3 linked regions of the Sus scrofa genome follow. The protein of the gene in region 2 interacts with the protein of the main gene of each other region in a biochemical or structural test. Links are inferred from orthologs where the notes say so. Each region holds a gene or a part of one and is shown on either strand. Other genes may lie near its edges.

Evidence for each region. The genes of interacting proteins can lie anywhere in the genome.
Region 1: the proteins of STAT2 (region 2) and IFNAR1 form a complex in vitro, tested with the Homo sapiens proteins (2 studies listed by BioGRID). The link is inferred for Sus scrofa from reciprocal best matches to the Homo sapiens genes STAT2 and IFNAR1.
Region 3: the proteins of STAT2 (region 2) and CREBBP form a complex in vitro, tested with the Homo sapiens proteins (2 studies listed by BioGRID). The link is inferred for Sus scrofa from reciprocal best matches to the Homo sapiens genes STAT2 and CREBBP.

Annotation. Positions count from the first base shown.
Region 1 is NC_010455.5:196,924,364-196,928,544, reverse strand, and holds the start of IFNAR1 (interferon alpha/beta receptor 1), read right to left. Parts: upstream 2,815-4,181; 5' UTR 2,668-2,814; coding exon of another isoform or gene 2,601-2,667; intron 1-2,600. UniProt on the Homo sapiens protein: Together with IFNAR2, forms the heterodimeric receptor for type I interferons (including interferons alpha, beta, epsilon, omega and kappa).
Region 2 is NC_010447.5:21,742,343-21,745,985, forward strand, and holds part of STAT2 (signal transducer and activator of transcription 2), read right to left. Parts: intron 3,346-3,643; coding exon 3,192-3,345; intron 2,865-3,191; coding exon 2,769-2,864; intron 2,594-2,768; coding exon 2,504-2,593; intron 2,413-2,503; coding exon 2,337-2,412; intron 1,914-2,336; coding exon 1,828-1,913; intron 1,665-1,827; coding exon 1,516-1,664; intron 1-1,515. UniProt on the Homo sapiens protein: Signal transducer and activator of transcription that mediates signaling by type I interferons (IFN-alpha and IFN-beta).
Region 3 is NC_010445.4:38,386,989-38,391,179, reverse strand, and holds the start of CREBBP (CREB-binding protein), read right to left. Parts: upstream 2,815-4,191; 5' UTR 2,613-2,814; coding exon 2,528-2,612; intron 1-2,527. UniProt on the Homo sapiens protein: Acetylates histones, giving a specific tag for transcriptional activation. Mediates acetylation of histone H3 at 'Lys-18' and 'Lys-27' (H3K18ac and H3K27ac, respectively).

The DNA of each region.
Region 1 (4,181 bases), on a different chromosome or scaffold from region 2:
TTTAAGCCTGACATAAATCCCAACACATATATTCATACGAATATAAGTTTCCTCCCATCTTCTGGATAGTTTTCTTAGATGAGGATCCCAGAACTGAATGTACTAAGTTTAAAAGTATGAATATTTTGATGGCTTTGAAAAACAAAGTAACATTATGATCTCAAGGTAGAGTTAACATTTCATTTAGTTTTGAACATTACTTTTCCTTTGAGAAAAAAGTCGATTAGGATTTCCCGTCGTGGCTCAGTGGTTAACAAATCTGACTAGGAACCATGAGGTTGCGGGTTCGATCCCTGGCCTTGCTCAGTGGGTTAAGGATCCCGCGTTGCTGTGGCTGTGGTGTAGGCCAGTGGCTACAGCTCCGATTGGACCCCTAGCCTGGGAACCTCCATATGCCACGGGAGCGGCCCAAGAAATGGCAAAAAAGACCAAAAAAAAAAAAAAAAAAAGTCGATTAGTTAATTCAAAGATAACTGAGCCCTTAACATATAGGTGGATAATCAAATCATGCGACCTTTAGAAAAAAGTCTAGCCTTAGGCTCCAGGGCTTTGAGGCCAGAGTCTCAGGGTTGGATTTCCCCCTACATCACGGGCTAGCTGTATGGCTTCAGTCTGCTCATCTGTAAAACGAGGATAATAGTGACTAGCTTTGTTCTGAAAGCTGAACGAGGTCATATCTTTAAAGCACTGAGAACAGCGGCTGGCACATAGTGAAGAGGGCCATGAATGGCAGTTGCGTATGAAGTTTATTTCTGCTCTCCTCTAATCTGGATTAGAACTATGATCTTAATGAATGTCCTCCTGGAATGTAAATTTTACAGGAAAATTCTGGGGAAATTTTTTTTTTTTTTTTTTTTTTGTCGTTTGTCTTTTTAGGGCCGCACTTGCACATATGGAGGTTCCCAGGCCAAGGGTCGAATCAGAGCTGTAGCTGCCAGCCTACGTCACAGCTCACGACCATGCCAGATCTCCAAGCCCCTGAGCAAGGTCAGGGATCGAACCTGTGTCCTCCTCCTGGGTGCTAGTCTGACTCGTTTCCGCTGAGCCATGACAGGAACTCTGGGAAATTCTTTTTAATACAAAGGCAAACGTGAGTTCCATGCAAAATCTTCATGAACAAAAGACTCTGAAGAAATTACCAGGGGTTATACCAAGACCCTAGTACCCATATACTATACTATATGCTGTATTTGTGGAAGAGTTTATGAAAGAGAATAAAGGAAACCTTATTTATTTATTTATTTACTGTTATTTGAGGGCCACACCTGCGGCATATGGAAGTTCCCAGGCTAGGGGTCAAACTGGTGCTGCAGCTGCTGGCCTATACCAGAGCCACAGCAATGCCAGATCCGAGCCACATCTGCAACCCACACCACAGCTCATGGCAATGCCGGATCCTTAACCCACTGGACAAGGCTAGGGATCACACCCGCATCCTCTTGGATACTAGCTGCGTTCACAACTGCTGAGCCACAAGGGAACTCCAGGTAACCTCATTTAAAATGAAGTCAGAAGGCCAGAACCTGGGAGTCTTCAGGCACTTGCCCTCACCATCAACTACAGCAGCCAGCCATAACGTCAATCAATGTCAATTACATCCCTCGGCAGGAGGAACTGTCCTCTCCCTAACAAGCCCGGCCAACGGGAAACGCCAAACTCTCCTCAACCCTTGCTTTCATCCAATGAACTTTGCTCAAAACAACCCCACTGGACTTCCTCCTTTTTCTCTGTAAAGTAACATTCTTCTTTTTTTTGGTTGTTGGAATTGCGTATGATTTTTGCTATAGCTTGCTTGTCCCAAACTGCCATTCCTCTGCTTATTCTGGAAGAAACTCATTGTGATGGTAAAATAACTGCCCGTTTTATTTTTTAGGACAAGATCGGATACCATGTACCCCAGAAAATCAGGGTCTGGTTTTCTAAGCAGTTAAGTATTTTCAAGTCCTCCAGGTGGCCTCACCAACCCCTGGACTCCTGCTCTCGTTTGCCAGGCCCTGTTTGTGTGTGGGTCCTCCTCCTCCTACAAAGTCAACCTTATCACAGCTGCATTCCCCCACCCAACCCAGCTAAGCCAAGAAAGACAGCAAACGAGCCTGGTGACTCCCAGCCTTTGCATTTTGGCTGTGTACTTTTTCTTTTATTATTACTTTTTTATTAGACTGTACGAACCCTGAGGGCAGAGAAATCCTCCCACGTAGGACCAATTAACTATTTACTAAGTGGAGGAAACGCGTTTCAAGATCGGCAGCATAGCTCATGGCTAAAGCCTTTATTATTATTTAACGGTCCAGTCGAGCTACCGGATTTTTCGGAAAGAAAGAGACTTCACCCCAAGGATCAGGCACACCCAACCCTGCGGGGGTGGGAATCCAAGGAGCAGGCACAGGGCAGAAGTGATGGCAAGGAGGACGCCCCCAAAGGAGCGGTGTGGAAAGATCTCTGACGTCACTTCTTTGTCGAAATGTGAGCCCTGAAACTAGAGGCCTCCCAGAGGGGATGTCTGTCTCTCCCACCCACTTCCCCTGGCCGAGGTCTCCCATGCCGCCGCCATCCAGCCTCGCGCCCTGCCCCCCACCTGCGCCGGGACCCCTAATTCTCACCTGCGGGCAACACCCACGGAGCCCCAGCGACCAGCATCAGGGTCGTCGCACCCAGAAACCCGAGCATCGTCCGCGGGCGGCCGCCGGCCCTTCCAATCACGTCTTCGGCCACATCAGGAAGCGCGGCGCAAGGGAAACTTGGGTGCACAGGCCACCCCCGGACCTGGGACCCGTGCGGCCCTGTCCCCTCGCGCCGCTCGCGCCCCGCCCCTCCACAGTCGCCCCGCCCCACGCTCATCACCCCCCGCCATCGACTCCCGCGCACGCGCCGTGCCTTCTGCGCGTGCCACCGTCCGCGCACGCGCGTGGGACGGCAGGGGCCGCCCAGACTCCACCGCCTGCCCCCCGCCCCCTTTCCGGAAAGTGACAGCTCACTTGCTGTCCACCCTCGCTTTCCGGGAAGACTGCGCGTAACTCGAGGGCTTGACCCTGGCAGGAACGCGGAGATTCGCCAGTGCGCCTGCGCAAATTTCGAGGCGGGTGTTTCCTCCCAACCCCCTCGCTAATTGCAGCCGGCGGGCAACCTCTGCGCTCTCTGCTCGCACCCTACTGTGCCCGGTCTCGGACTCCGGAGTCTGGCAAAGCGGTGTTGGGGCGGATTTGGTCCTAAGGGAGGAAGCAGTGGGGAGAGTTTCCGAGCGGGCCAGGCCATTTCCTTTGTTCTGAGCGCTGTGAGCAAAGTGCAGGCGCCTCCGAGTGAAGCCGAGACGCGTTGATCTTGGCCTGGGGCGCAAGGGCCTCTTTGAGAAGATGGTGACGGCTTCTGGGCTTTGGGGGTGGTGTCCAGAACAACGCTCTCCAAGCTCTTTTGATCTTCTGCCCTTATCAGTAAAAGGTTTGAGTCCATCATTCAAACGGTTATTTAAGCACCTTAATAATCAATTATGTATCTTATAAAAATTCGCAAAAAGGGAGTTCCCGGCCTGGCGCAGCAAAAACGAATCCGACTAGGAACCATGAGGTTGCGGGTTTAATCCTTGGCCTCGCTCAGGGGGTTAAGGGTCTGACATTGCCGTGAGCTGTGGTGTAGGTCACAGACACTGCTTGGATCTGGCGTTGCTGTGGCTGTGGCTAGGCCGGCAGCTGCGGCTCCCATTCGACCCCCAGCTTGGGAACCTCCATAAGCCGTGGGTGGGGCCCTAAAAATAAAAAGCAAATATAAATAAATAAACTGTTTAAAAAATTAAAAATACTCAAAAGGGAAAATATAAAGGGTGAAAGATGAAATAAGCAAATGCTTAGCTGTTAATTACAACTAAACAATTTAATTATAAATTGTAAGGTTAAATGAGTATTTGTAGAGAACTATGGGCTTGAATATTGCCTTATAAAAACTTTGAGGTATAATTTACATACTGTGAAATTCATCCATTTTAAGTGAACAATGACTTTAGTAAATTTATCCAGTTTTGGGGCCTCATTTTTAAAAACATTGGATTATTATTTTGTGACTCATCAATTTTCAGGTTTGATTCTCAGTTTGTTAGTGTTTTGCTTTAATAACAGCATAGATGGAAAAATACCCCCGGAGAATCTGGGGATCTAAAGGGAAGAAGGAAGTTCCTGGTTGCACTTATTAAT
Region 2 (3,643 bases):
TGGATTCGTTTCCGAGGTGCCACAATGGGAACCCCCTACATTTTTAATAGTTTAAATTATAATAAATTTTCTCATGAGAAAATATTTAAATAATAGTTATCTTTCAAATATGCTGAAGGATACTTTAGTTATTTTTTCTGTCACAATAAAATTAATATAAAATAGTTTACTGGAAAACAATAGCAAGAAATTAAAGACAACTTAGGAATTCCCCTGCAGTGCAATGCGTTAAGGATCCTGTGTTGTCACTGTAGCAGTTTGGGCCCCTGCTATGGCTCAGGTCTGATCCCTGGCCTGGTTGCATGCTAGCTGTGGGTGTGGCCAAAAAATAAATAAATGAATGGATGGGAGTTCCCACTGTGGGAAAATGGGATCAGTGGCATCTTGGGATCACTGGGATGCAGGTTCTATCCCCCGCCCAGCACAGGAGGTTAAGGATCTGGTATTGCTGCAACTGTGGCTTGGATCTGATCCCTAGCCTGGGGAACTCCATGTGCTGCAGGTGGCAAAAAAAAAAAAAAAAAAAAAAAAAGGAATGAATGAATAAAATTGTTAAAATAAAAAAAAATAAAAACAACCTAAGCATTCAAACATAGTTCATTAAATTATATTACTTCCATGAAGGGAGCTATGATACAGCCATTAAAAGTAGATATAACAGGAGTTCCCATCGTGGCGCAGTGGTTAACAAATCTGACTAGGAACCATGAGGTTGCAGGTTCGGGTCCTGGCCTTGCTCAGTGGGTTAAGGATCCAGCATTGCCGTGAGCTGTGGTGTAGGTCGCAGACGTGGCTCGGATTCTGCGTTGCTGTGGCTCTGGCGTAGGCCAGAGGCTACAGCTCCGATTCGACCCCTAGCCTGGGAACCTCTATATGCTGCAGGAACGGCCCAAGAAATGGCAAAAAGACAAAGAAAAAAAAAGTAAATATAGCATACTGGTAAATAAAACAAACAAACAAACCCACAGGTCTCAAAATAGTATGAATAGTATGATTCAGTTTTTTCTTCTTTCTTTCTTTGTTGGCCACATCCACAGCATGTGGAAGTTCCTGGGCCACGGAGTGAATCTACATGACAGCAGTGACAATGCCAGATCCTTAACCCACTGAGGCACCAGAGAAGTCCCAATTTTTGTTTAATGATATTATAGAAACTTTCTGGGTATAATAATAATAATAAATAATAATAATAATAATAAAATAATTGGCATTATTTGCACTAAAAAAAAGTTAAAAAGATATTTCTCAGGTGATTAAACAGGAAGGAGAAACTGGATTATGGATTAATTCATTGCTTTCCCCAAAGCAAAGACTGGGCTCTGGGCTCCCTGGGTGGTGAGAATGAAGAGCAGAGCAGAGCTGCAGTCAGATAAGGGAGCTGGGTTCATTCTGGGAAGCAGAGATTAAGGAGGGCAATACTTCTTGTCATATACAGGGCATTATATCCTACAAAGCACAGGGGGGTAGTTAGGAATTAGGGCTGGGTGAACGCGACGGCGGGCAGGTGCCTCTCACCACTTCTCCAGCTGCTCCAACTCTCCATCCATGGGGGCTCCAATGCAGGCTTTCTGCTGCTGGACTTTCCACTCCTCCAACTTGGGCAGCAATAGCTCGATTAGGGTAGTTAATCGGCCTAGCAGTGCCTTGGAGGCATCCAGCACCTCCTAGAAAGATGTAAAGTGAGTACCAAGAGCTTCTCACCATCACCCGCCACCAACCAACTAAGGATGAAGAGACAAAGAAGCCTGGGCTAGGAGACAAGAGCTCCCAGATGCCTCCTTTTCCCCAGTTTCCTGCTGCCCACTCCTTCTGTCCTCTGCTTCCCACCTTTCTCCTTTTGTCCAGTTCATTGAGAGTTTCCTGTAGAACTTGCTCCTGTCTGGTCCGATGGGGGTCCAAAGAGTGTGTCTTCGCTGGATGGCAGGAGCAGGAGTGAGACAAGTACTCAGATCTAGGGATCCTCCCCCGCTCCTTCCCAACCCAGACCTCAGTGAGAGTCAGGAGGGGGGTAGAAGAAGGGGAAAGCAAAGCGCACAGGCACCTCTGGGCTTTCAGGTGAATTCTGAATGGTCTTGCTAGAACCAGAAGTCCACTCAGTCTGATAGGGCAGTTTCCCAAGCCTCTCCTCCAACATTCACTAGCTGTTGCTCAGCCACACCTCCAGCCTGACCTCTGCAATATATCCTAGCACTTCCCGCTTTGCATGGCAGCAGGACCATAACCACTGAGATGTAGCCAAAGGTGAGTATTGCTTACTGGAGCTTTTCCCTTCTGCTCTAGTCTATCCTTGGCCTCCCAGTAGGCACCTTATTCCCACCCCTCAATGTACTTCCTACCTGAGGCCTTGATCTTATATCGAAAGCAAAAGATATCCTGCTGGTCTTTCAGCTGGCTGATGGATTTCACCAGCTTCTGCAGAGGAGATGAAACCCAGATGAGGCTGCTTCTGTGGGAAGAGGCAGGCTGAGTCCTGCCCACCCTGGCTATTGCCACATCTACCAACCTCCATCATAGCCCTTAATTCCAGGATCCGGGACTCAATCTCATGCTGCTGGTTCTCCCCAGGTGCTTCAAGGGCTGGCTCTTGTTGCTCCTGAAATAAGAGGTTCTGAGCACATTTCAATGCTGTCCTTTCCCCCCTGAAATCCAAGCCTGAAATTATACCATAGGATGTGGAGGGATCTTGTTCTGAGATACATTTCCTGAGTCCTTTGCATGGTCCCTCTCTAATCCAAGTGCTTTCAACATCACCACCAAATTGTTCTCACCAACTGAGCCCTCTGAGCCTGGATCAAAATTCTTTTTTCTTCCAAAAGAAGATTAAATATCATCTCAGCCAACCGAGTAGGGCCCTGTGGAATGGCCTGCCAATAGGGGAAGAGAAAGGATTGATTTAACTCAACTGCAATGAACTACCACCTCAGATCCTCCCCACCAGTGACCTCAGTATTTCGCCCTCCTTCAGGGTCCCAAGCCTTGAAACACTGGTGTCCCAAATTCTAGCCTCTTCTGAACAGGGTCATCTAGACTCTGCCCGTCTCTCTGCCAAGTCCACACTCTGTCCCCTTTTCTCCAGATCTTTCCCTGGCCCTTTGAACCTCCAGGTCTTGTTCCATGGTCCATACCCTAAAACATACTCCTCTACGCTCAGTTCCCATTCATATTTTGTTATTCCCAGCTCCTCCAAGTACCTGAATGTCCCGATAGAATTTTCGCAAGTTGTGCTGTAGCAACAAACACTCAGGGTCCTGGCCACAGCGGCCACAGTCATAGTTCAGTTGGTCCAAGAAGTGGAAGAACAGCATGTTAGCCTTGGAATCATCGTTGCCCAGTGCAGCTTCCTGCCTGGAGACCAGGAAGGACAAGGATTAGTATCTCTGCAGGATTTTTTTTTTTTTTCAAATGGCTGCACCTGCAACAAATGGAAGTTCCAGGCTAGGGGTTGAATCAGAGCTGCAGCTGTGGGCCTATACCACAGCTACAGCAATCAATGCCAGATCTGAGCCACATCTGCAACCAGCCTATGCTGCAGCTTGTGGCAATGCCAGATCCTTTATTTATTTATTTATTTATTTTGTCTTTTTGCCTTTTCTAGGGCTGCTTCCCGTGGCATATGGAAGTTCCCAGGCTAGGGGTCTAATCA
Region 3 (4,191 bases), on a different chromosome or scaffold from region 2:
GCCGGCCTACACCAGAGCCAGAGCAACTCGGGATCCGAGCCGCGTCTGCGACCTACACCACAGCTCACGGCAATGCCGGATCGTCAACCTACTGAGCAAGGGCAGGGACCGAATCCGCAACCTCATGGTTCCTAGTTGGATTCGTTAACCACTGCGCCACGACGGGAACTCCTGCCCGGTCCAATTCTATCCTAGAAGCCACAAACCCATATCTCCTCATTTAAATGAGGCTGAGTCTCTCGAGAATGTTATTCTCAGGTCTCTCCCCATGTTTCCATTTAACAAAATGCCTTCGATCCTTTGACTGCGTGTAATCTAATCCCTTTAGTCCTTGCTTTGCCTTGACAGACATCCTTAAGCCCTGCTTCAGACCAGCAGTTACGGGAGACAAGGCTGTACCTTGCTTCATGTGCTCAGTGAGGGCCCTTCCAAGGCCCTGACACTAAGAGACCCTCTCACAGGGACATGATGGTGCCGAACGCGCCACCAAGGACCCGACACACATATAAAGGTGAATTTATTCTTTGGATTATTTAAACAGAGCTGTTAAAACTGACTTTTTTGTTCCACATTTGGAAAAGCAAAAGAGCTCCAGTGCCTCAAAAGGATCAAAATTAGAAAGGGAAAAAAGTGGTCAAAATCCACCCTTTCTGATAAATTTTACTGTGATCAGCCACACATTAAGTAGATATCTGACCATCCAATAACAGAAGTGCCCCAAGAGCCAGTCCTTTGGGTGCCATCTTGAAAAGAGGTACAAGTTTACAGTGGGACAAGCCTTTCTGCTACGTCTCACGTAACTCCCTTGTCCCTCTGTATAAAAAGCAAAGTCTAAAATAACCTCAATCAACAACAGCAAAGCTGCAAAGCCATTCAAAAGTTACGTTTCAGAGGACAAGCTTCAAAGCAAACTTGTCCAGTATGATCTATATTTCATATGATTAAAGATTTTTCACTCAAACATGCCAAGATTAATGGAGCCAAGATGAGCTATTCTGCAGTAAAATCAGAGTTTTTTAAATGCAGTAAAATCAGAGCATTGAAATCATGGTTGTTCTCACATTTCTCATTTCAGATAAGCTGATTTTACAAAATTAACATCAAACACAACACTTCATCAGTTTTTTTTTTTTAAAGAAGAGTATTATTGGTGACTTTTATACACCATGAGACTTAACTGACTCTTCTCCAACTGTTTCAACAAATTTCATTTCAACTAGACAAGAATCTCATGATTTTTTTTTTACACTTTCTCTCAATTCTACATTAAAAAATAGTCTAGGAATTGTAGTAAAACTGCAGCCACAAAACTCAAGTTTTGTTCCAACAATAGCAATAGATTTTTAGACCACTAGCAGAAAAACGCTAGTGGTCAGTCACAGAAATGTTTGCACAAGCTGAACAGCTGTGTCTACTGCAAATCTGAAGGCACTGCTGCAGCAATATAATTCAATTCTGACCCATTCATTATAAACTGATTTACAGATGCTGCTACTGCAAGATCACAGTGGAGAAATGCAAGCTGCGCTGGGGATCAAATCGTTCACCGAAGCGCACAAGTTTTTAACGCAAAGGAGAGCTCTGAAAGAGGAAATACAACTAGTTCATAACGCTACCATGAACCAGCCCAGAAGAACCTAAAACTATAAATGAATAGAAAACTAAAACACTTCCCTTAGGTAATTGATGTGATCACCTAAGAAAGTTTCCAGGGAAGATGTTTAAAACAGTGAATTTATTCAGTATCCTACCGAAAAAACTAGGGAGGAAGACTGTAATTCCCCCATTCCTTAACATATTTTTTCTTCTTACATCTTCACTGTAAAAGCAACACAAGCTCACTTGCAGATTGCAGCCCGGATCAATCTGCTATTTAACTTTCTTCCGAAGTTACAGTCTTGAAATTAAACACCCCACTTAGGACGTCTTCCGAAGTTTGGGGCTGTGAAAAATGGGATAGCTCAGGAGACCAACAACAAGAGTTTTCAAAGTAACTACTAAGCATTTTTCCCAAGCAGCACATTCCAAAAAACTTCTAAGTCGTAACTCAAGAGGCTGGCTGCAGCTCTGCGTGTCTTCTGGTTGCCTTGTGAATGTGCTACCAATTCAGAAAACATTTCGGGTCCCCTTTGGGCTGCACGCTTTCCTTCCCTCACTGGCAAACGCACCCTCCGCTGTCATCCCTTCAAACAGCCACGCGTGTGTCGACCCACGGCGGCAGAGGGTGGCAAAGGGACTCACCACGCAGAACAAACACGCTCCGCTTTACTTTTCCCCCCTGGAAGTACCACTCGGGCTCCACGCGAGGAGGGCTCGCCAACTCCGGGCTATGCGAGCGCACCGGGCATGTGCCGCCCCACTCGGGCCCCAGGCAGTCTTCCGACAAACTTCCCCCTCCGCGGCCGGGGTCCCGGGGAAAGGGCCCCGCACGCCCGCCCTCGAGTTCGGGTCCCCCGGGGGCACTCACCTCCGGGCAGGGCTGTCAGCGACCCCCGGGGCCCCTGTTCCCGCCCGGCCCCCTACTCACCTGTGCTGTCATTCGCAGAGAAGCCGGGCGAGCTGAGTTTGGCTCGTTTGGGGTTGGGCGGTCCGTCCAGCAAGTTCTCGGCCATTTTCACCTGCTCGCGAAAACAGCCCCGAGCGCGGGCGGCGGGGCCGGCGAGGGCTCCGGGGCGGGGGTCGGCGCCGGCCCCGGCCGGCTGCGAGGGGAGAGCGAGCGCGAGCCGCGAGTCGCGAGCGAGCGCCGAGGGAGAGGGAGGGCGCAGGGCCGGGTGGGGGAGGCGGCGGCCAAATCTCAGCCACAGCAACAGCGCCCCGCAGCGCTCACCGCCCGCCCCCGGCCGCCGCCGCCGCCGCCGCCGCCGGCCGCGGCCCCCTCATCCCCTGCCCGCCTCCCGAGCGCGACACTCCGCGGCGGGGGCGCCCCGGCGGCCCGGCGGCCCCCCGGGCCCGGCTGGCAGCGACGGCGCCCGGCCGGGCGGCTCAGGCAGTCCCCGGGAACATGGTGCCGCCGCCGCGCCGCCGCCTCGCTCCCCCCCCGCGCCCCACTTAATTAATTCGCTCGCGGCCCGACGACCGGGGGGCTCCGGGCTCCGCTCCCTGCCCGCGGCCCGCCGCCGCCGCCGCCGCCGCGAGGAAAAACAATGAGCGAAGCGGGGCCGCCGCCGCCGCCGCCGCCGCGGCCCCCCCACCCCCCGTTCCGCCGCCGCCGCCGCCGCCGCTGCCGCCGCCGCCGCCGCCGCCGCCGCGGCTCCGGGAGGCCGAGCCGAGAGGCGAGCGGGGCCGCCGGAGCGGGCGCCGAGGGCCAGGCGGAGCGGGCCGGCCGGGCGGAGCGGGGTGCGCGGGCGGTTGTGGGGCCCGGGACCGGCGGGGCCGAGTAGATCGCGCTCGAAGCCCCGGTCGGGTCCGCGACAAGATGGCGGCTGTTGATTCCTCAATTAAAAAAAAAAGAAAGTTTTTTTTCTTCTCTTTCCAGAGCCTGAACGGGGAGGGGGAGGGGGCGGGGCACGCCGGTGCGTCACCCCCCCCCGCGGCGTCACCACGCACGGCCCCCGCCCCGCCCCCTCCACCTGCGCCGGCCGCAGCGGAAAGAGCCGAGCGCGTTCGGACGGAAAGGGCCGAAGGCGCGGCTGCCGTACGTCGTGCGGCCGAGTGGCGGGGCGGCTAGACTGCCCGGCGGGGGCCGGGCCTGCGGGGCGCCGGGCGCCGGGCACCGCCGCCACTTTTGTTCTGACGGCGACTGGGCGGCGAGGGGTCTGGCTGCGGCCTGGCAGCAAGCCGGGCCCCCAGGCGCGGAGTTGGCGCCGCCCGGGCCTGCCCGTCCCGCAGGCGACTCTGCCCAGTCCCGGCTCCCCGCGCCCCTGCTCCGCGACCCTTCTCGGTGACCAGGGCTGGCAGCTTCTCCCCGCCGGATGCCAGCGTTGTGTCGTGGCCTCTGCAGGTTACAGACTGCTCTTGGGTCCGCCCGTGAGCGAGTGCAGATGGGGAAACTGAGGCAGGAAGTGGCAGGGCCGAGATTCGAAGGCCTCCACGTGAAGTGAGGAGGACGCAGGACTCCTGAGCCCTTGTTCCCCAGCCTGATGCAATAGGGGCCCCAGGTCCGACACCCTCACCTGCACCGGGAAGTGGTGAGCGCTGCTTCCCAGCCAAGCACACTCAGTCTGCGCCGGGCCCAGAAGGCCCCATTACATC